Regions from separate parts of the Mus musculus genome. Here all the other regions are reported to be linked to region 3. The links are microRNA targets in miRTarBase. Many come from high-throughput screens and were not tested one by one. Region 3 holds a microRNA gene; each other region holds the end of a gene's coding sequence.
The links. The annotated mature microRNA mmu-miR-24-3p reads UGGCUCAGUUCAGCAGGAACAG and lies in region 3 at 4,585-4,606, shown strand. An mRNA with a match to its seed (bases 2 to 7 or 8) in the 3' UTR can be bound and repressed. Matches are read on the target gene's strand: a 7mer-m8 pairs with bases 2 to 8, a 7mer-A1 pairs with bases 2 to 7 and ends in A, and an 8mer does both.

Region 1: miRTarBase lists Mdk as a target of mmu-miR-24-3p. The part of its 3' UTR that is shown has no 7-base or 8-base seed match.
Region 2: the mRNA of Rab3gap1 is a reported target of mmu-miR-24-3p. Seed matches in the 3' UTR shown: 7mer-A1 at 1,991-1,997.

The regions. Positions count from the first base shown.
Region 1 is chr2:91,924,247-91,931,964 of GRCm38, forward strand. It overlaps Mdk (midkine), which reads right to left and starts at 7,613. Exons shown (of 5, transcript NM_001012336.2): 1 at 7,448-7,613; 2 at 7,126-7,202; 3 at 6,850-7,008; 4 at 6,572-6,733; 5 at 5,559-5,869. The coding sequence starts at 7,201. The coding sequence ends at 5,844. Chrm4 (cholinergic receptor, muscarinic 4) reads left to right here. Exons shown (of 2, transcript NM_007699.2): 2 at 2,971-5,583. The coding sequence starts at 3,003. The coding sequence ends at 4,442.
Region 2 is chr1:127,940,727-127,948,444 of GRCm38, forward strand. It overlaps Rab3gap1 (RAB3 GTPase activating protein subunit 1), which reads left to right. Exons shown (of 24, transcript NM_178690.4): 24 at 1,648-3,150. The coding sequence ends at 1,884. Among named protein-coding and RNA genes, the nearest start is that of Gm28800, 16 kb to the right of the region's middle.
Region 3 is chr13:63,296,667-63,304,384 of GRCm38, forward strand. It overlaps Mir24-1 (microRNA 24-1), which reads left to right and starts at 4,542; the gene lies at 4,542-4,609. It overlaps Aopep (aminopeptidase O), which reads left to right. Exons shown (of 16, transcript NM_001289926.1): 15 at 192-278; 16 at 2,046-6,211. The coding sequence ends at 2,186. Mir23b (microRNA 23b) reads left to right here and starts at 3,818; the gene lies at 3,818-3,891. Mir27b (microRNA 27b) reads left to right here and starts at 4,046; the gene lies at 4,046-4,118. It also overlaps Mir3074-1, Gm16907 and a transcript of Fancc not described here.

The DNA.
Region 1 (7,718 bases), not on the chromosome of region 3:
GGTGCTCACAGGCCAGGGTGATGGCTGCTTGCCTTCTCGGATTCTAGATGGGCGGGATTTGGGGGGGGGGGGGAGGCAGAGAATTGTGCCTGAAGGTGCTGTGGTCTGAACATCTGAGAGACTATCAGAGAAGTCTAGAAAGAAAACTGGGACCAAGTTGAGAAAACTGAATTTACCCAGTCTGCATCTGTCGGGGCTCCGGGAAGACCAAACCACCCACCATTCATCTGGTCATTTACTTGTCAAGGCTGTTTCTTGGTCCCAGGAGGACAAAAGGTCAAACCCAAGTGAGGGAACTGGAATATGAGGGTTCCACATCTAAGATGCATCTTGGGGGGCTTCTATCCTGTGTGGTTTGGGGAATATCTTGGAGATAAAGTGTCGCAGACCCTCCCCTTCTTACGAATGGATGACTTTGATCAGGTTCATTATCACGATGCCCTTCGGTAAGAGGACTTTTATGTCTGTAAGAGGAGGTTACCAATAGTACTTACCTTGTCTGGGTGCTATAGGCAGTAAACTTTGAGGGGCTTCTGACTCAATAAACAAGAGAGATTGTATTTTTCCTAGCTCACACATCTTGCCCCCCACCTCCCCACCTTCATCTTCTTATCCTGCTGGCTGCTGGCTGTGCTCTGGTCCTGAGAGACTAAAGTGAAGGTTTCCTTGGTGCATGCTAATGGCTCCCCTACTGCCTCGTCCCTGTCCCTGCCAGTGGGTATTTGGGGTGGGGTGAGGTAGGGAGAACAGCCTCTATGCTTGATGCTACCCTCCAAGCATCTGATGCTTAAGGCCCCATTTTGGAGCTGAATACCACTGTGGAGTCCCTTGAAAGAACTGATCTGTCTTTTGCCCTTGACTCCTTGGGTGACCTTGGAGTGTCACTACCCCACTTCCTCCTGTCTTCCTTTGACCAGTGGATTTAACTTTGAAGCCAGAAGGCAATCTCTTGTATCTCTTGTGTTGGAGCTGGAGAGCTTGGCCCAAGCTTGGCTGGTGCCATTTCCAGTTGGAGAGCAAGCTGAGGTGCTAAGGGGGTCCCCTGGCTGTTCAAAGGCCATAGTGGGACAAGATCCTCTATTTTGTAAATGACAGAACTAGTTCTCAGAGGGCAAATGGTTCTCCTCGGACTGTACAGCTAGACCTTGCTGGCCTACTATTGAACCCAAGCTGCAGACTTGGCGCCTGTTCCTCCACAGCTGGCTGCTGCACCCTCTCTTCCTCTTACACACACACACAGGCTCGCATGCACGCGCGTGCACGCACACACACACAGATGCACACACAGACGCACAGGACTGCGTATACGACCTGCGTGTGGCTGAGATGGTGCCTTTGTGCGTATGTGGAATGCTTGTGTGTTGGCGGGTGTGAAGGAGGCTGGGCTGAGCGGCTGCCCTGGCACAGCGTGCTGGGCGTGGGCCTCCCTCACATGTATGGAAGAGGAAGGGGAGGAGGAGAGATGAAGGGAGCCTGGTGGGAGGGAAGGCAAACTCTGGGGAGGGGCTCTGTAGGACTTTAGCTGGGTCATCCTCTGTGTGGGATGTGAACTCTTAGGCTGGCTCCGGGGTAATTCCCTCATCTTTTGGCTCCACGAGGGAGCTTGTCCTTAGTTCTTGGGAAATCAAATAGACCCTTCTTCAGCTGCTGTGTCTTTCAGGCTTCTGATTTCTTTGCTGGGGATCTAACAGCCCCCACTCTGTCCATTCTTCACCCCTGGGACTGGGCTGGGCAGGCGAAGCTGAACTTCCTGCGTCATCTCTCTAGTCCCTTTCCTATTCTTCCTCTTCCAGGTGTCCCAGCTCCCACCTCACCTCCTCTGGTCGCTAGCGTGACCTCCCTAGCCCTTAGAACCATCAGGTCCTGTGTCTTTCTTGACTGCTCTCCTTGCTCCCAAATGCACTGGAGCAGCCACAGGATGTCAAGGAAATGTGGAACCTTATTTAACACCTCTGAGCCTGTTTCCTCAATATCTGCCTTCGGTTGTGAGGAAACACAGAGTGCAGGAACTCAGTAGACAATCTATGCTGGCTGCGATGATGATGATGGTGGTGGTGGTGGTGATGATGACGACGACAGTGTAGGAATGGGAGAACAAATCTCCCTTGGCCACGATTGGTTAAGAAATGTCCACGTGGCTGGACATGGTGGAGCATACCTGCAGTTCTGGTCCTCTAGAGGCAGAGGCAGGCAGATCAAGGCCTGTGACTTTGAGGTCAGCCAGGTCTACACAGTAAGACCTTCTTTCAAAAACAAACAAACAAAAAAATTAAAGGAAGAAGAAGAAAGAAAAGAGATGAGCAAGTGGGGCTGCAGATGTAGCTCAGCGGTACACGTGTGTGGCACATGTCTGCCATGTGTATAGCTTTGTCTACAACCTTCAGTAACCAAAAAACAGGGGTTGGGAAGTGACAGGCCTGAGTGGGCAAACAACTAGACATTTGGCCCCGCTGCCTGCTTCAAGTCCTTGGGGCCATTTCCTCATGCCCCTTGCTTTCCTGAGCTCTGTCTCTGGGCCTTTGCCGTATCTCCTTGCCTTCCTTCCCACCAGCTTTCCTCCTTGCCCTCATCTGCGTCATCTTCAGGGTGAGGCCGGTGATCAGCCAGCAAGCACCAAGTTCTCTCCCGTCTTCTCTCTCAGCCTTCCCTTCACCATCTTCTTTCTAGCAGTGTCCCCCTCCCCCGCCATGTGTTTCTGTTTCCCCCCAAAACTAGATGATCCATTCTGAGATGGGGACCATGTGTGTTCATTCACTTTTATAACCTCAGCCCTGAGCTGATTACAGTACTTGCCTGAGGAAGCTTCCAGTAAACGGTAGAGGACTGAGAACTCAGGAATGGTTGGCACAGGGAGCCCTGACATTTTCCTGGATAAAGTTCCTCCAGCCACAGTTTGTGACTCCTCCCCCCCTCCCCCCTCCCCCATCCTCTTCCACCATTCACTTCTGTGCTGTCTCCTTCCTCCTCCAGCCACTGCCCACCTGTCTCCAGTTGGGTTCAGCATGGCGAACTTCACACCTGTCAATGGCAGCTCAGCCAATCAGTCTGTGCGCCTGGTCACAACAGCCCACAACCACCTGGAGACAGTGGAGATGGTGTTCATTGCGACAGTGACTGGTTCCCTGAGCCTGGTGACTGTGGTGGGTAACATCCTGGTGATGCTGTCCATCAAGGTCAACAGGCAGTTGCAGACAGTCAACAACTACTTCCTGTTCAGCCTGGCGTGTGCAGATCTCATCATAGGGGCGTTCTCTATGAACCTTTACACCTTATACATCATCAAGGGCTACTGGCCCCTGGGTGCCGTGGTCTGTGACCTGTGGCTGGCCCTGGACTATGTGGTGAGCAATGCCTCTGTCATGAACCTTCTCATCATCAGCTTTGACCGCTATTTCTGCGTCACCAAGCCCCTCACCTATCCAGCCCGCCGCACTACTAAGATGGCAGGCCTCATGATTGCAGCCGCCTGGGTCTTGTCCTTTGTACTCTGGGCCCCTGCCATCTTGTTCTGGCAGTTTGTGGTGGGCAAGAGGACAGTGCCTGATAACCAGTGCTTCATCCAGTTCTTGTCCAACCCGGCGGTGACCTTCGGCACAGCCATTGCTGCCTTCTACCTGCCTGTGGTCATCATGACGGTGCTGTATATTCATATCTCGCTGGCCAGCCGCAGCCGTGTTCACAAGCATCGACCCGAGGGCCCCAAGGAGAAGAAGGCCAAGACTCTGGCTTTCCTCAAGAGCCCTCTGATGAAGCCGAGCATTAAGAAACCTCCACCAGGGGGCGCTTCTCGAGAGGAACTGCGCAACGGGAAGCTAGAAGAGGCTCCTCCGCCAGCCCTGCCCCCGCCTCCACGCCCAGTGGCTGACAAGGACACTTCCAATGAGTCCAGCTCAGGCAGTGCCACCCAGAACACCAAGGAACGGCCACCCACAGAGCTGTCCACCACAGAGGCCGCCACCACACCAGCGCTGCCCGCTCCTACCCTGCAGCCACGAACCCTCAACCCAGCCTCCAAGTGGTCCAAGATCCAAATTGTGACAAAGCAGACAGGCAGTGAATGTGTGACTGCCATCGAGATCGTACCTGCCACGCCAGCTGGTATGCGCCCAGCAGCCAATGTGGCCCGAAAGTTTGCCAGCATCGCTCGTAACCAGGTGCGCAAGAAGCGGCAGATGGCGGCCCGGGAGCGCAAAGTGACTCGGACAATCTTTGCCATTCTGCTGGCCTTCATCCTCACCTGGACACCCTACAATGTCATGGTCCTGGTGAACACCTTTTGCCAGAGCTGTATCCCCGAAAGGGTGTGGTCCATCGGCTACTGGCTCTGCTACGTCAACAGCACGATCAACCCTGCCTGCTATGCACTCTGCAATGCCACTTTCAAAAAGACCTTCCGGCACCTTTTGCTGTGCCAGTATCGGAACATCGGCACAGCCAGGTAGACGGGCAGGTGCCTTAGGAGGTGCTGGTGTCAAGAGTGTGTACCGGGGAACCACATGGCTCACCGGCTGTGGAGGAGAGAGTAGGCGGCCCCACTCTGAGTTCGCATCTGCTGAAGAGAACAGGTCTCCCAGACACCGTGAGGTACAAGAGGCTCTTCGCTGGGATGGGAGAGCAGATCTCTACTGAAGCCTAGGAGGCTCGGCCCAGGGACGGTCTGAACTGGCACCACCTGGCCCATATCTTTTACCTTGCCTCAGGAAGATGGGGGACGATGGCTGGAGTGGGCAGTGGCTCTATCAAGGCCAACCATCGGTGGAGGTGGATGAATAGAGCAGAACTTGGGAGCATCTTGAGAGGAGCAAAAGGAGCCAGGCTTGCAAGGGTGGGGTCCCCCGTTATGCTGTAATCGGTGCTTTCCGCCTTCCTGCGCCCTCCTCTCCCTTGCATGTAGGCTCAGCCCTTCCCCTGCCCCCAAGTCCCACTCCAAGGTGAGGGACTTCCCTGCCACTGTTGCTCAGCCAGGCTCTGGATGGGAAGCCAAGCCCTTTGGCACTCCCCTGGCCAGCAGTCATCTGGACAGGGCAACTGGGAGGCCATGCTAAGCCGAGATACAGACTCCAGGGGACTGAATCAATTAATGGTGGATCTTATTGTCAAATTGTCAAGAACCCCCCCCCCCAGGTCACACATCAAATGAACAGCAGTGGGCAGTGTTCCTCTCTACCTCTGAGCGGAGGGAGGTATGGGTCCAAGGAGGGAAAGGTGATGGTGGGGAACTTGGTGATCCATACAGCCCACAGTGGCGAATGACACAAGCAAGCACCCTCATGGATCCCCAATGAGAAAATTCCAGACTTGCAGTAGCCTGGACCAGAAACTCTTGATGAGCTGGGACAGAGTTCAAGTGAGTCACCTAGGTCCCCTTCCCTAACCCCAGCCCTGTGGGTCCCTGGGAGACTTTTTTTTTTTTTTTTTTTTTTTTTGTAAATGTTCTGCTCTTTTTCCACGAGCTGTAGGGAGCACTTCCTTCATAGCCCTCAGCTCCCCTCAGTCCATCTTTCCCCATCTTCCCACCTCCGACAGAGCTCCATGGCAAACTGGGAAGGGGCTTTTATATATTAAAAAAGAAGCTTTTATTGGAAAAAAGTGAGTTTATTTTATTCATTTCTTAATAACAAGTATCAGGGTGGGGAGAACAAAAGAGGGTATGGGGAGGCTCACTTTCCAGAATCTCTTGTCCCTCCCCACTTTGGGCACTTGGTGTGGGCGTGAGAGGACAGGCGTGATTGACAGAGCTGACAGGAAGACAAAAGGCACTGGTGGGTTATATCTTGGGCCTGTGGGAGAGGAGGGCTCCGTTCAGGCTCCAGGCGAGGCCGGAGGCTCTCTGGCCTCCTGACTTAGTCCTTTCCTTTTCCTTTCTTGGCTGGAAAACAATAACGGAGATGCATTAGTGCGGTGGGTGACCTAGCTCGGACTCACCAGACAACGCAGACATGTCCATCAAGGAGAGAAAATCCTGCCCCCTAGTGGTGACTGACCAGTTCACCTGGAAGTGGTGGGAAAGGGCAGCCATGTGATATGAAACCTTTCTTTATTCGTTCAACTTTTTAACCCTCGCGCCCCCCCCCCCCCTTTAAAGACAGACTCTCAAGTCTCTCAGTCTGTAACCTTGAACTCAAGGCAGTGTTACTGCCTCAGTCCTGAAGTGCCGCTTTTTACAGGCACGAGCTACCAAGCCTGACTTTCAACTTTCTATTTTCATCTAGGATCAGAGTACTCCAAGTTCCTCACCGGGGAAATGGGCAGAGTCACCTCTGCCCTGCTGGCCTCAATAGCTGTTGGGAGTCAGGTAGCAGCATGTACCTTTGGGACAGCCTTTCCATAGTTTTAAGCGCAGAGTTAACTCCTCCCTGATCCCACCCCACCTTCCTCAGTTGACAAAGACAAGCCTTTCCCAGGAACCCAGGTCGGATGATCCAACAGAAAGAGTAGTTCCTACTTGGGCAGAGGGTTTAGCATCTCCTGAGAGTGGCCCTCAAGTGCCTGCCCATTCCTAACTTTAAGACTGCTCTGCAGAGACAGAGCATGGAGTAGCCTGGCCCACAACCCCACCATATTCGCTGACCTTTGGTCTTTGACTTGGTCTTGGAGGTGCAGGGCTTAGTCACGCGGATGGTCTCCTGGCACTGGGCATTGTACCGCGCCTTCTTCAGGGTCCCTTGGCGGGCTTTGGTGCCAGTGCTCCCATCACACGCCCCCCAGCTCTCAAACTTGTATTTGCAGTCGGCTGATGGGAGAGTGGCCCCACGGTGAGAGACAGGAGGGTTGTGGATGTCCTCCCTGCCTCCGGTTTATAAGGACATACCCTCTGGCTTCCCGCCCTCCTCCCGCGCGCCACCTCACCTCCAAATTCCTTCTTCCAGTTGCAGGGCACCTTGCAATGGACGCGCTGGGTCTGGGCCCCACAGGTACCCTCGCGGAAGCCCATGCCGCAGTCCTTGCTGCTGGGGGTGCAGGGCCCCCAGGTCCACTCCGAACACTCGCTGCCCTTCTTCACCTTCTCTACAGGGCGCAAGGAACAAAGTTAAGGACATGGCGTGCCGGACCAGCACTTGGTCACACGGCCTGCCTCACCTGCCCACCCCAGCTTTTACTCCTGAGCCCATCCTATCCCATCACCTTTTTTTTTGGCCACCGCGGACGTGACCACCAAGAGGGCAAGAAGGGCGAGAAGGAAGAAGCCTCGGTGCTGCATCCTAGGGGTAAAACCTGGGTTAGAGTTTCTCGCCTAGTCTCTTCTCCGCTAGGAACCGCGGGAAGGACCTCCCACCCTTGACTGACTTGTCCCACTTTCCAGGCCCAAAACGTCGGACCGACAAGGGGGAGACGGAGGGAGGACTTGGAACCGATGTCTCAGCGTACCCCCACCCCCACCTCAGCCCCCTTGGTGGCAGAGCAGCCGCCTGAAGGGACTGGGGCCACAGCCACTGCGTGCGCTCACTCGCTCACTGCTCGATGCTTCGCTCCCTCCCGCTCCGGCCTGTCCCGCTAAGGCCGCTAAGGCCCCTTTTGTCTCCAGAACCGGTCTGAGCCGGTCACATGGGCCCCCGCCCCTCCCCCCATCCCGTGGAAGGACCCGCCCCCTCCCCCCAAACCCGCACCTCCCCAGACCCCCCTAGTCCCCGCCTCCACTCCCGCCCCTCGCCGAGCCGGGACTCCCGCGTCTGTGCCTCTCACCTCTGATCTCTGGGTCTCTGGTCCTGGAGTTCGGT
Region 2 (7,718 bases), not on the chromosome of region 3:
GCTTCTCAGTCTACCTCAGTAGTCAGCGCTTTCAGAACCCATGTGATGACCAGCACATGGTTGTGTTGTGTTTTAACTCAGCTCTCACTATCTGGCTCAGTGAACTGTTGACTTTATGTAACTTTTCATGGTGAGCAGGTACTCTGTGCCAGTTTTACTAACAAAGGAAGATTTAATTATATTTAAGGCGTAGCTGAATTTTTATAGCACACATTAGCTTCATATTAGAACTTTTCTTCAAAATTATAAACTGTAGGCCCAGTGACACGGCACAGGGGTAAACCCTTGCTGCCAAGTCTTTTGTCAGTTTATTCTCCAGAAGCTACATACCAAATGGTGAGAACCCACTCCTGAAAGCTGTCCTCTGACCTCCATGTGTGTGCTGTGGCATATGCACACATGAGTGCCCCACTCCCACAAGCCCAAAGTGTAAAATATTAGAATTCTGAACTGTAATAAAGTTGACTGAGACCATATAGGTTTGGGTATGTACTTATTTAAATAGAATTCAGCAAAAATAACTGCTTTGTTCCGGTCTTACTAAGTTGAATTATTTCTACACATCTGTCCTTAAATTTATGGTTTGTCAAGCATCTTTTGAAACAGCATCTTGTTTGAAAGAGTGAGGGTTTTCTGTCATTTCCTCATTAAATGACCCTGCACTTCACCTGTTGAGCCGTCAGATGCATGAGCCTGAGCCTCTGCTGGCCATGTGTGGTCTGTGATGTGGTTCTGTGCACCTTCAGTGCCCTTGGATGGAGTCATGCCCACACAGTGCGTGCCATTCCTGATGTGCCCCCGAGTCTGCCCCGGCCCTTAGCTCCCTCGGTCCCTTTCATCACTGTTTCTTTTCTCACCTTTCTCAAGCTGACTGAATCTTCTGATGAGGTAACAACATGGCCTTATGTCCCTCATAGTTCTTTGTCCTTCCCCATCCCTCTAACTTCATAAGGTCATCTTAACTAACCATCTCTAACCGGCTGGATGTGGCATCCCCTCTGGCTGTACAGCTTAACTTGACTTCATGTTTCCATTGCCCAAAGAATTTTCCCAAGCAGTGGAATCATGAAAGAAGGACAGTATTGCGTTCTGAAGGCTCCCATTGGCTGCACTGGTGCAGTTTGAATGTACAAGCAATGCCTTCAGCTTTGAGCACTTTTCCTCTGTGGCTATGGCCATGGGCATCTGTTAGCTTGCTGTCACATTAGATGCCCAGTAGTCAAAGCCAGTGTTCCTGGTTCTAATTTGGCAAGAGAATCTAAAAAAGAACTAGCTGAGAGAGCAGAGATAAAATTGCCTTTCTCGACTTGAAAGTAAGTCTGTCCTGTTAACGTCTAACTCAGATGTGAGTCACTGCCTGCAGAAATGCAGGCACCAGTGCAGCTCTGCCACTGCTGAGGAGCCCCAATGCCCTTGCTTTTCAGAGCAGAGTGCTGGTCACCCACCTCTGCCTGCCTCACTAGTGCCCAAGCTCTTTCCAGCTTTCTGCTTTTCTGTTTTTGTTCTTTTGAGCAATCATAACACACAGTGGATATAATGCATTTCCAAGTGACACAGGTCATTGTGTGTTTCTTGTGTTTATCCATCTGCCCTTGGGTAATGTAGCTTTCGACTGGCTCTTGAATTTGGTGTTCTGTTCTGTTCAAGGCTGCGGCAGTGGCTCTGCCAGAGGAGGAGCTTAAGAAATCAGGCTGCCCAGAGGAGAGAAGACAGACCTTGGTGTCAGACTTCCCACCACCTGCAGGCCGGGAGCTGATCCTGAGGGCCACTGTGCCGCGGCCTGCTCCCTACTCCAAGGCCCTGCCACAGCGTATGTACAGCGTACTCACCAAGGAGGACTTCAGACTCGCGGGTGCCTTTTCCTCAGACACCTCCTTTTTCTAGGGGGAGGAGGAGGAGCGGCAGCTCCTGCCGTGGGCACCTGAGACGCCCTTGTGGAACCAGCAGCAGGAGTCACACCAGCATCCAGAAGCATGTCCAGTACCAAGCTTGAGCCAGATGGATAGATTTGAGGTGTCAGAGACTTCCACCTGGGGGGAGGTGGCCTGTGTTAGGGGAACCTCACATCAGCAGGCCTCTTACCTTGGGGGACAGAGTTTGTTCATTCTCCTGTGACAGTCATCTGTGTAGACACTTAGTAGCTATCCTTACTAGTATTCCATATGCAAGGTAGAGTATCCGTTAACTCACATTCTGGACACTTGCTGGTAGAGCCTTTAGTCCCAGGATCTGTGTTTTTAAACTGCCACGTAGCATTCTGTTTATTCAGTCACCAGATGGATGGTCAGCTTTATTATGCTGTTTCATGAGCATTTGAATATTCTAGGAGAAAGACTAGAATTTCAATTTTTTCCATGCCACTAACCAAATGCATTTCTTCTGATAAATCTGTACATGAAATGTAGCTGCAGATTAGAGCTCTCTCTGTGTGTCTGTCTGTGTGTCTGTCTGTCTGGTAGGATCTCTCGGTCCTCTTGGTTGCACCCCTGCTTTGCACTTTACTTCTCTGCGTTGCTGGTTAGGGATGGTATTTAATGACATCATACGAGCACATGTTGAACACACATCCTGGGAACATAGATCACCATGCAGTTAGTGAGCTGTGGTGTGTGTGCCGAGGCTGTGAGTGGGCTGAAGCACCCGGTGCAGGGGTGATGGCTCTGTCCTCTGCAGCTCAGAATGCATCAGTACGCTGCTGCGGGACCTCTCCTTGGTGATTGTAAATTATTTTGGGACCTAAAATTCCCACTTGAATCCAAAGTAAAAAATGGTTATGGTGAAGTGTAAATTCCGCCTGTGTGATTTTTAAAAATTAATAGACCTACACAAGCCCTGTGTTATTTTTGTAAAAGAAAAAAAAGAGTATATATATATATATTTATCTGTATGGTGTGCACAGACACGTGTCTGTTTGGGTATATGAGGGCCAGGGGCCAACCCCTAGACTTCCCAGCGAGCACTCTTTCCTCTGAAATGCTGGACTTTGCTTCTTAGAAACCCATAGATACGGGCTGAGGCATGAGGGGCCAGAACAAATACAAGACAGGACAGTGTTTGCTTTCCTGGGTATTGATGACAGAACTCTACAGTGTGGGGTTGGTCTAAAATGGCATTGTTTATCTAATAAAACGGACTGCTGTTTATGTGTGGACTTGTGGCTTTTCTCCCCGAGAGCTCTTCTGTTACTTCACTCAGTTCCTGCTGCTTCAGCTCTGTCTGACGTCACTAGGAAGTGTGTGCAGGATGTTCCTCATGCCGCCTTCAGTGTGGCTGTCCATTCTTTTTGGTCTTACTGCTATTCATTTCAGACATTAGAATGTACCTGCTGTATCATTGCTGAACTGATGACACAGAGACAAATGCTACCGCGTGTCAAAAAGCTAGTGTGCAATGTCCCCCTTTCCTCGGCCCTTCCTGAAGGTGGGGAAGACTGAGCTGAGCCCACGATAGCATAGGGTAGTCTGCTCAGGGCAAGTCCATGAAAGGTGGAGCATAGACAACTCTGAAGTGTGCTTAGAGGCGCTGCACACACCCCGTGAGCCCACCCACTCTTCACCAGTGATGGTTGTGGTAAACTGAGAAGGGTTTGTTGGGCTCAGGGTTGAGACCTGCAAAACAATATCTGAGGGTGACTGACCTCTGGAACACGGATACACATCTCTAAGAAAGTTTAAATAAAAATCTCAGAGCAGCACTAGCTGCTCTTGTAGAGGACTGGTTTCAGATCTCAGCACCGCATGGTGGCTGACAACCATTCCTGATGCAGTTCCAAGATCCCGCACACTCTCCTGACCTGTGTGGGCATCACGCAACATGTGCACATATATACAGGCACTGATACGATAAAAAAATCTTTAAACAATGTTTTAGAAGTGTTCTGCAGGACACTCAGTTGCTTATCAACAGAGGTTGTATAAACTGTAGGGAATGGCTGTCACTCAGCTGTGTCGTGTTTGCCTATCAATCACAAGGTGTAGATATGTCCCCGGCACCAGAGAAGACAAAATGACCCAATAGCATAGAATGACAGACGTGGGAGCCATCCAAGCACTTTGTGACTATGAAGTATGGCTGCCCAGATACTTCACCACTTCAAACAGGCCCATGGTAAGGCTCGTTTATGGTCAGAGGTCTCAGACTATGGCGAGCAGGGTGTGGCACAAGTGCACACATATGACAGGGACAGGTAAGGAAGGGGGTGAATATGAATTAGTGTTTGTTCACAGGCTGTGTGGTTTTCTTCTTTCCTTTCCTCTGGCTGCTGGTCTGTGGAATGATGCCCCACCCCATTTAGATGCCCTTTGGCCTTTCTGTGACAACCCTCTGCCCCCACCAAGATACCCAGAGCTCTGAGTTATAAATCAAGTCACTTCTCCATCCAATCATGAGTAAATTACTGAGCCATTCTTTTCCCCAAACATCCTGAGGCCCCATAGTCACCTGTGTACCGCTGTGGGACAGGGCACAGGCCACTATGCTGTGACCTGTCCTTTAGAAGTTGATGCTAGACAATTTTTGCTTATGAAAAAAGGCTTCTTTCAGCCACCACATGAATTCAGTGGACAGTGACCAAAACTCCCAAGTTTGTTAGCCCCTGGGCAGTTTGAGTAGGCTATGACTTGCAAGGACTATTGATTAACCTTTCTGAACCCTAATTTTGGCTTAAAAAAAGGCTTAGCTTTTGCCAGAGTTCTGTAAGGAAGGAACTGTATTCATAGTAGCCCACTGGCACTTTCCTGCAATATCTTGCCTACATGAGACATGGAAATATTTTTAGAGTGTGAATTTCCCACTCTCTGACAGTGGGAGAGGATGGGCCTCTCTCTGGCTGTAGCTAAGCTGACCTGAAGGCTTAGAGGTTGGGCTGGGACCCACCCGGTCCATGTACTTCATGTCTGTCTTTATACCTGTTACTCCAGGGGAGAACTGTAAGCAACAATCGTTTGTCCTATGTTATCAGTTAAATCCTGAACCTAGAAGGGCCTGGATAGATCCAGAGCAGGGTCAGCTCTAGTCACTTGTAGGCACTGTGACATCTATGAAAAATGATCATTTGTCATTTGGCTAACAAAATTGTGCTCAGAGGCAGATATCTACCCAGGGAACCTGGCTGACACCCAAAAGTGGGATGCTAGCTGTCCACAGCTGCGTCTCTCCAACAGCATCAGTACAAAGGCAGGATGTTGGGATGTCCAGATCTCAATGCAGTGGCCACTTACTACTGCAGACCAGTGCATCCCAGAGGCAGAAGCAGGCAGTTTGAGGTCAGCCTGGCCCTGGTCTACAGAGTGAATTCCAGGGCCACACAGAAAAACCCTGTCTCTGAAAAACAAAAAAGCAAAACAAAATGAACAAAAAAAATTATCCCAAGAACTGACATGGGATTCCACATCCTAACTAGAACATGAACCACCCCATGGCATGAGTCAGGGGAAGGAGAACCTGCTAAGCCCACAGGCTGCACAGAAGCTGCTCTGGGGGACAGCAGACACTTGTCCCATAGGCATCAAAGAAAGACAAGAGACAGCTGCACTGCAACCTTCTCACTGTTCTCATTTTCTATTTCTGTGAGATCCTGGAACTGCCCGATGGGAGCATAGGCTTTAACGCACTCTTAAGATACAGGCAATATGCAAGGATTCCTTACACAGGACTTGAACATCACAAAATATTCTAACTGGGTGTGATGGCACACACATTTAATTCCAGCACTCCAGAGGCAGAAGCAGGCAGTTTGAGGTCAGCCTGGCCCTGGTCTACAGAGTGAGTTCCAGGGCCACACAGAAAAACCCTGTCCCTGAAAAACAAAAAAGCAAAACAAAATGAACCAAAAAAAAAAAAAAAATTATTCCAAGAACTGACACGGAATTACATATCCTGTACTGCAAAGCTCACCAGAGTGAAGAGGGCTTGGGTTTGTTTGTTTGTTTTGCTTTTGTTTGTTTTTTTCTTTTCCTTTTGTAGTGTTGGAGATGAAACCCAGGGCCTTGTACACTGGGCATGCACTCAGTTACTCCCCGGAAAAACAGCCTACAGGATGAGAAAAGCCATTCTTGCCAAGTTATGCATCAGACAGGCAATTAATATCCAAGACATATACAGAACTACAAATAGTTCAGGCAGGAGAGATGACAAGTTAACAGCACCAGCTGTTCTTACAGAAAGAGGATTCATGTCTACAGCAGATATTGAAAAACCTCTCTTCATAGGACCAAGAAAAAGCAATTCAGGAACAAGGTATGGGAAGATGCCAGCTCACACACACAGGGCTCAGGCTCAAGGAAATGCCACCTCACACACAGGAGCTGGGCAGAAGCCTGCATCTTATGGGAGCATACATCAGGTGATATCTAGTGTGGCACTTTTTCATGGCTGGCTGGAGTGTAATTGGTACAATTCTGGAAATGATTTTGTATTACCTAAGATGTCAAACAAGCGCGTGCACGTCCTAGAGACTGAATCTAAAGCTCGGGTCCCAGATAGTGTCAGTATCATCTGGGCCCTTATCAGCAATGCAGATCTTTGGGGCTAGGGAGATGGCTCCGTTTATATTGATAAAGGGACCAACGCTCAACCTCCATAAGCCAATAAAAAGCCTGCAGATCCCCAAAGCTTACTCGACAGCAACCCTAGCTCCAGGTTCTGTGAGAAAGAAAGCCTGTCTCAAAAAATTAAGGTGAGCTGGCAACACATGGCTTTTGTTGTTTCTGAAACAGTCTCTCTCTATAGTTCTGTCTGTCCTCCAGCTCCCTATGTAGACCAGGCTGGCCTTAAACTCAGAAGGATCCCGTTTCTGCATCCCGGGTGTGTGCCACCACAAATTTCTTTATTCCCAGCACTTAGGAGGCAAAGGCAAGCAGATATCTGAATTCAAGGCTAGCTTGGTCTATGGAGTTCCAGGCCAGCATGGGCTATACAGTGAGACCCTGTATTGGGGGGAAGAAGTGGAGTGTGATTGAGGAAGGCACCCAGCAAAGACCTCTGCTGTCTACAGACGTGTGTACACCCACCCTCACTAACAAGTGTGAACACTCACAAAGGAAAAAAAGAAAAAACAAGGAGGTGCAATTCCTTAGTCACTCTGTCCTCCTGAGCAGGGGGCTCTGGAGTGGGGCTGCTGTGTTGAGGAAGCCCTCTGGAATGTATTCTAGTCTGAGCCTCTTTGTTATAGACCTCTCCGTATGGGATCAGGGCTGTTCAGACTCACTACACAAAATCTATAGAGTACACACCCTGTCCTTGTTTGACTGTAGTGAAGGTAGTATTTACAAAGCAACAAAACCTAAAATCAATATGGTATTAAAAGCATAGCACTGGGCTGGAGAGAGGGCTGAACAGTTAAGAGCACTGGTTGCTCTAGGAGGACCCAGTTTTGACTCCTGACATGCACATGGTACCTTACAACTGTCTGTAACTGACACCCTCTTCTGGCCTCTGAGGGCACTGCATGCACAATGTGCACAAACACACACACATACACACACAGGCAAAACACATAGAAATATATAACTAATATAGCAAAAGAAGCGTGGCATTGAGGGGAGTGCAGCCTTGCAAAGCATCATGCCACCAGAGGCCATTGATCCACAGGTTACACGAAGTTGCTTAGCAACATCGAAGGAAAAATTCCTCCAACCAATTCATTGGAGCCAACTGAATCAAACTGCAAATCTGGAAAATCCCTGCAGCAGAACAGTGTGGGAACTCCACCCAGCAAT
Region 3 (7,718 bases):
GGCTGACAGTCCTTGTACTTGGGAGTTCCAGTCCTCGATTTTAGGAAGAAATGAAATGCAACCGCTCGTTCAGCCACACTTCCTACACAAGTGCCCCGTGCTTTGGTGAAATTGCAGTACAGTCGCCCTTTATCCCCACACTCTCCTGGCAGAGGAGCATTGCTTACCAGGTTTCCTGTCTTGTTTCCCAGGTTCGCCATCGATGGTGTGAACTGGTTATTAAGCACAAGTACACAAAGGCATACAATCAGGTGGAGAGGTTCCTACTGGAGGACCAGGTGAGTGTGATCTTCCAAGAGATAGAAACTGGCCACCATTCCCAGTCCCAAGTTCTCCACATCCCTGTCAGAACAAATTATCTGAAGGAGTTTCAAAAACTTTGAAGGGCTAGTTAGCATCTGAAGATCACTGGCAGCTGTGAGCTGATGCCCTCAGTGTCCTCACAGAACCCCGTCCTCTGTCCTGGCTGTGGACGGAATGTGGCATTAGGTGAGGCTTACCCTAGAACTCTCAGTCCAAGGCCATTGCTTAGCAACACCATGGGTCCATCCAGCTTGTAAGGCTCTGATTGCAAGCACAGCACAGCACATGTGTGAATCACATGGGAAACCCTTGGGTCACCTGTTGGGAATTCACACCATGTCATACCCATGCCAGGCCCTGCCTAGCCTGTGTATTCTCTCCTTTTAAGAATGTCCTAGGAAGCAGTCTCCTGCCTCAAATTTCAGGCTCTGTGTGTGTGTGTGTGTGTGTGTGTGTTTGTGTGTTTGTGTACGTACATGTATGTGTGTGTAACCTCATGTGCCACCTCTCTGGTTTGTGACACATTTTGGGGTCATCCTTCAGGGTACCTCCTCTGATGTTTTGTACCTCATGACATGTTTCCACATGACCTCCCCCATACTCTGTCCCACTCCCAACCCCAACTGGCGCCTCTGGCTAGCCTGTGTGCATACTGTGGGCTGATGGGCTAGAGCCACTTTGAATGGGATGGAAAGTGGGGGTGTGGTGGACAAAAGGACTTTTGACAGAGTCAAAGTGAGGGCTGGTTTTTCCCATAAAGCAAAGGATGTGACTTTTTTACAGCAGAAATGTCACATTTGCACAGTGGAGTAAGAATTGTTTGAGAAAGCAGACAGGAACAGAGCTAAGAGCAGCTCACTGGCATAGCCATGCTGTCTGCTGTACAGGGACCTCCACGCCTCAGCCCCTGCAGGAAAGCTCTTTGGAAGCCGACACTGAGTTTTTATCCTATGCTGCCTTTGAAACACTTGAATTTGAAGCAGAATGTAACCCTTGAGAAACTCCATAGAACAAGAAAGCGGGCAGAACTTGCAGAATGTAATTGGCTGCTTTTTTAATGTTGGCTCAGTGAGAATTCAAGCCTTTGTAGCATTGTTTTCAAAGCAGAAGAGCCAAGAGTCTGACATTTGGTGGCTGGGTTAGGCCAAAGTGACAGCATCTGCCCTGCCTGCACTGCTGGCCATGTGGTCTCTGTGGCCTGTTAGGTGATGGACTTTGTAAGCAAGCTCATGCCAGCTACCCTTTAGGATGCACTGGCCTGACAGACAAGGTTTTCCATGGTGACCATTTTGAGAGCTCTCTGCCTCTGCCCAGTGTATTCCTGACAATAGCCATCTTGGGATAGCTTGCTACTCGGGCACCGGAGTCGGTTGACAGAATCAATAGAATTCTGTATTTCTGTTGTTTTTTGAGACAAGGTGTCATTGTGTGACTCTGTGTGGCTTAGAACTTGCTATGTAGACCAGGCTGGCCTTGAATTCACAAAGATCGTCCTATTCTTCCTCCCAGTGCTGAGATTAAAGGCCTGTGCTACCATGTTCAGCTTCCATAGAGTGTTGATAAGGACAATGGAGACAGAGTAGAAGGTGCAAGCTTCAGTTGGTCACCTGCACGGCAGCAGGCTCTCTCTCTGTCCTTTGTGCTTTTAGACCAGCTTGTGTAAAGCAATACAAACAAGTCCCCATAAACATGTGCAGCCTCTTACCCCTTTCCCATTCTTCTCTGGCCTTCACGGTCTGCAGGCCATGGGCATATACCTGTATGGGGAGCTGATGGTGAGTGAGGACGCCAGGCTGCAGCAGCTAGCCCACAGGTGCTTTGAGCTGGTGAAGGAACACATGGACAGAGCATCGGCCCAGGTGGTGACTGAAATGCTGTTCTAAAGAGGTAATTCTCTTTTCTTTCTTCTAACCATCCATGTCAATTGGTAAGCCACATGATGAGCCACAGCACCAGAGGGCTGCCAAACGGTCTTGGGGAGGAAGCAGCAAGGTGGGTCCTCAGGAACAGGAAGAAGGCTCAGGATCTCTGGAGCACCTCACCTGCTGGAAGCATGGGTGTGAAGCAGGTACAGCTGAAGGAGCAACAGATCTGGCACTGCTTTAGCCACCCTGGATTTTGCACAGGTCCACAGGCTCCAGGGTCAAGGTCAACACAGCGGTCCATGGCCTCATTGCTCCAGGCTTCAGCATGCAGGCATCTCTCCTAGAGGCTGTGTAAACCTGAGACTCCTTGGCCTCTGGTTCTCTGACCTGTAGAGTAGGCAGCAGGTCTTCTCTGCCCCTCCATCCAAGTGACACTTGCGTCCTAAAGGCAAGTCTGTTTCCATCTCGTGCTGGAACAGGATTTACGCTGGCTCCCAGAGTCCTTGGCTGTGGTGTAACTTGCCTCCTCTGTAGCCAGCTTGTGGACCAGTAATGCAGTTCAGCCACAGGGCGTGGAGTTCTGAGACAGGTGTGGGCTAGTGCGTCTCTTTCATAGTCGCCAGTCATCATCTCTACATCATCCCAGGACATTATCGCTTGCCATGGTGGTACATATGATGTTTACTTTTGTATATGTTTGAAATTTTACATCAATCACTGTGTTACTCTGTTGTTCTCTATGATTACCAATTAATGAATATTTAGAATTGTGTTGCTAATCTTAACCCATTGTCAGACATTAAATTTACATTTTCACATTTCACTTTTATAAAACCCACTTCTGTGTAATGTTTATTTTTCTGAAGAACTACACTGATGAAGGGAAAACATGTTACTATGTATGACCATGTTGTTGCAGAAGAGCTGGGGACCGCCACAGTCAAGCAGGGGAGATAGTGGGCTGGAGTAAGCAGGTACAGCCTGCTAAGCCTGCACACTACAAGCTAGGACGGTGGCCTGTGTGGATAGACAGAGTCGGTCGGGGCGCCTCTTCACTGCCTCCTGCAGACATTTCTCTAGAAACTTGTAAGCTGAGGGATTGTTGGTATGTGGTGTGTGAAGGTCACACAGTAAAGCCACTGTTCCCTTTTTAGGTCCCTAGGCCTTCACTTAGGAAAGCCATAGTCACATAGTGGTCCTAGTGACTCTTCTAAGAGTATTTTTGCCCCCTGAGTGAGCAAATCCTCAACTTGCTAGGTCCCCTATGAGCTCTGTGCTATGCCTCAGCTTATCCAACCAAATGCTTGGTCACAGGCAAGCCAGAGAGATGCTCCCTCCCTACACACCACACCTGCTGTCTGAGGGGCCCAGAGACATCCCAACCCATTCAGTCTGCAATTGGAGAACAGGGTGTGTCCCAGGGTTAAAGGCCACATACTCAGAGCAAGGATGGTCCCTAAGGTATTGGTCTCATAGCTGATAAGTGTGTCCTTTGTCTCCCAGTCCCCTATGCTCCTCTATACAGTGCAGCCAGCGCGCTGAAGGACAGCAGGCTGCACTGCTAGCGTGGTGGGCTCAGAGGCGGTTTGGAGGACACTCAGCACATGTGGATGGGAGTGGTTGGGCATGGTGCTGCCCTCACCTGCTCTGGCTGCTTGGGTTCCTGGCATGCTGATTTGTGACTTGAGATTAAAATCACATTGCCAGGGATTACCACGCAACCATGACCTTGGCTGCTCCTGCAGAACCGTGGCTACTTTCTCTCTGCAGTTTGGAGAACAGAGGCGCCTTGTGGCTCTTTGGAAACAAAAGAAGCCAACAGCCTTCGAAGATGCTCACCAGCCCTTTAATTATGGCCGGCGATGACCTCTCTAACAAGGTGCAGAGCTTAGCTGATTGGTGAACAGTGATTGGTTTCCGCTTTGTTCACAGTGGCTAAGTTCTGCACCTGAAGAGAAGGTGAGATGGGGACAGTTAACTTGCAGCTGCCAGGCAGAGGCCACTGCCTGGTGGTCACTCCAGAGGAGGAGAGACCAGCCTGCCTCAAGGCTGTGTTGTCAAGAGTGCAAACAGCGTGCTGACCACCCTTAAGTGTGTCTACAGAAAATACAGTTCTACTGCTAATTAGTTCACTGTAATGTCAAGTGTATTGGGAGTCACAGAAAACTAAACCCAGGTGCATCAAGGAAACTGAGCCAACCTTGTCTCAGCTGATGCCACACGTGATGGGTGGGGGTGTGGTTCTTTGTCCCTGCTGGGCGTGGTGAACTCTTTCTTGTATTTGCAGTCCAGGTCTCCATGTCTCCACAGTCGCTGGCAAGATGATGCCCAGGGCACGCCAGGAGGCACTGCCCAGCTGTGATTGGACCCGCCCTCCGGTGCCTACTGAGCTGATATCAGTTCTCATTTCACACACTGGCTCAGTTCAGCAGGAACAGGAGTCGAGCCCTTGAGCAAAAAGCCTACCCATCTGTAAGTGCCTGAGGCAGGCCTCCCACGGAGAAGAAGATGAAGGGCCTGAGTGTCTGGTACCAGACCCAACAGCAGTGGTATCCCTCTGTATGTGCTCCCGAGGTGGGGATTTGTAGAGTGCAGAGCTAACCTTGGAAAGTTTGCATTCCCTAGAAGCAGGTAGGGCAGGCGCTGAGCATTTGCCACGTGTTGGGGCAGAGCACACCATGTCACCGCTGCCTTGAGCAGTGAGAATGCCTGTCTGAAGGGCCTTGTCTGTAGAGCCTTTCTGAACCTCTCTGGGCTTCACAGCCCTGCATGGCCTGTGCCGTGACTGTGCACCCCAGACCCAGGATTGTGAGGTGTGGCTTCAGTGTTGCCCCTGTCCTCCCATGAAAAGTTCCCTCTCAAGTGGAGGTCAGAGGCTGGGAGGACTCCTGTTGGAATGGCTGTGGTGACTGGGTAATAAATTTTATTGCTGTTTCCTCCACAGGACAGATCACAGTGAGATTCTCATATACCTTCTCCTAGCCCTGGTGGGGCCAGGACTGCACTGACCCTGGACATCAAAGGGAGGATTATGTGGCTGCTAAGGCCATCAGCCCACAGCAGTGGTTGGTCCATCTTGGGCTTCCAGAGACTGGGCTCCCGTGGCATATATAAAAGGCGGAGCCTCATAAACTGTTGCACCTGGCAGCTGCCTTTGTTCCCAGTCCTAGAGAGACTGAGTCTACACACTGGAATTGAGCTGTGACTTTAAGGCAGTCATTCAATGAAGGACACCCTCCCCTAGGCAGATGGAGAGCCGGTTGCCTGCTTCCTGTGATTGCAAAAACTAGCTGCCATGCTCTGAGACTGCAGAATCATGTGACACCTCCTGTGGCTGGTCCCCAAGGATTCTGCAAAGCCCTTTTGATGTGTTCAGTCAACAGAGCATTCCTGTTTTTGAAAATGCAGGAAAGCCTAAAATGTCTTAATAAAGTACCAGATTTGCTAGTGTTCCAGTTTGCTTCTGAATTTGATGCTCCTTAAAAGCAAAGAAGAACGTGTGTCAGAACAGGCACTTTCCACACACTTCCTACCTCCAGGTAATGTTAATTCTAAAAAGGTTGGAAGTAAAGGGAAATTAGTGTGGCTTGGGACTCTGCTCTCTTCCAAATGTGGAGTTTCAGCCAGCCTGGTACTAGCGGAGTCTCAGAACAAGCTCTAAGCTCTTTCAGTCACTGTCTAGAGAACGGTGCTTGAGACTGAGCCATCAGTGCAGTCACATGAGCCCAGCCAAGGCAGAGCGGTGGACAGAGGAACCAGAAGGAGCATCCCACTGGCTGGCCAGGCTTCTGCACCCAGACCTGCTGGGTGACAAAGGCTCTAGGACAGACTGAGAGGAGCGTCCGCACAGAACCATTGGTTTTCAGAGCCTGGGCTGTAGCAGTGACTGCATTTGGATGGTTGCAGGGGACTTGCAAATGGTTATCTGCTTTGTATACCACAATGGTACAAGTATCAAAGTGTGTTAATTCTACTTAATGTTACCCTGATTTCTGTGAAGACTTGAAATAAATGGCTGAGTCTATGCCTTCCTGCTCTCAGAAGCACTCTGGCCTTGCTTAGAGGTGGACTAAGAACCACACACCCTGTAAGGCCCCTCTGAGAACCTCAGTGGCCCATACCTCCTCTGAACTGGAGAGAGCAGCCAAGCACTGGTTTAGTCTGGTTTTGTTCTTTGTTCTTAGGAACCACTAAAGCAAAACAAAGCTGTCGCCTAAGGTGGGTTTTGTTCAGGGATCAAGTCCCTTGTCCCCATGGGTCACTGAGCCCTGTGCCTGGCTGTGTCTGGCTTGGGTTCTTGCCAATGGGTTTCAGGTAAGTGGAGATCTCACTGGAACCAGATGCCCATTTCACAGCTTTGGTGAAGGATCTGTGGTAGAGCTGTCCTTTGCCACCTCTGGCTGGGTGCAGAGCAAGCCTATCCTCCCCTCTCCTCTAGTCCCCCACCCCAACAAGTTAGGCAGCAGCTCCTGCCACCCATAGCTGCACCAGAGGCCCATGAGGCTGTGGAAGCAGGCTTCCCTCATCTGGCTGAGACCTCTGGAGTCAAGAAAGTGCAGTCTCCATTCTTCCGTGAGCCACCTGACTTCACAGGACACAGAACATTGCAAACGTTAACTTGTCAAATAGGATGCGAAGCAGGGTCTGAGGGCGGAAGAATGGATGTCTAGGGAGGCTTGACCTCCTCCTCTGAGCTGTCTCACCCAGGGAGGAGTTTGCTCTATAGCATATGGTTCAGGTGATGAGTGAACTGTTGGCGGAGGAAGGATGTGGATCATCACCCAGGCTCCTGCTCCAAACCACAAGTGGGCAGAGCAAGAAGCTGGATCCCTGGGTCAGTGTTTGCTGTAGACCACTCTGTAGTGCTTGGTCTTCAGAGCTTTGGTGTCCAAGCCTTAGGCAGGGGCTTGGAACCCCTCTAAGGAACTCTCCCTCCCACCACTCAGATGTGAGACTGAGCCTGTGTTGAAAGCCTGGAAGCCTGAACCTGAGTCTGCTCCTCTGTCCCTGGAGAGACTGAGACTGTCCTTGGTGGTCAGGCACACTTGTTGCCAGCACTATTTCCATGCCGTTTTCTAGCCTCACTTCATTCCTGGAGGAAGCTGAAGGGTGAGAGAAACCCAATGGGAGCAAAGTGCTCTACCACCAGGCCCATGCCTCCAGTAGGTAGAGGGGCCGGGACAGGAGGATCCGTGTGAGATAACTGCCAAGAGGTGAGTGGGATAGCAGAAACACCAGCCTCTTAACCCTGCCACTGAATACTGTCATCGTCATTGCTAAGCAGATGTCCATCACTTGAGAACAACAGGCCAGGGCTGGGCCAGCCTGTTCTCACTGATCCCACCAGAAATGGCCTCCTTCCAACCAAGACAGCCTAGAGTTACTCCATCTCTTCTCCAGAGGAGACACACCCCTCCGTGTTATCTGGGATGCTTCCGACAAGGATTAGAGCAGGCCTCAACCGGAGTGAGGCCAGGGCTACAGGAAGGGGGTGCATCTAGATCATCTGATGTTGACCCCTGGGCCATGGTTCCCTGCACAGGAGGAAAC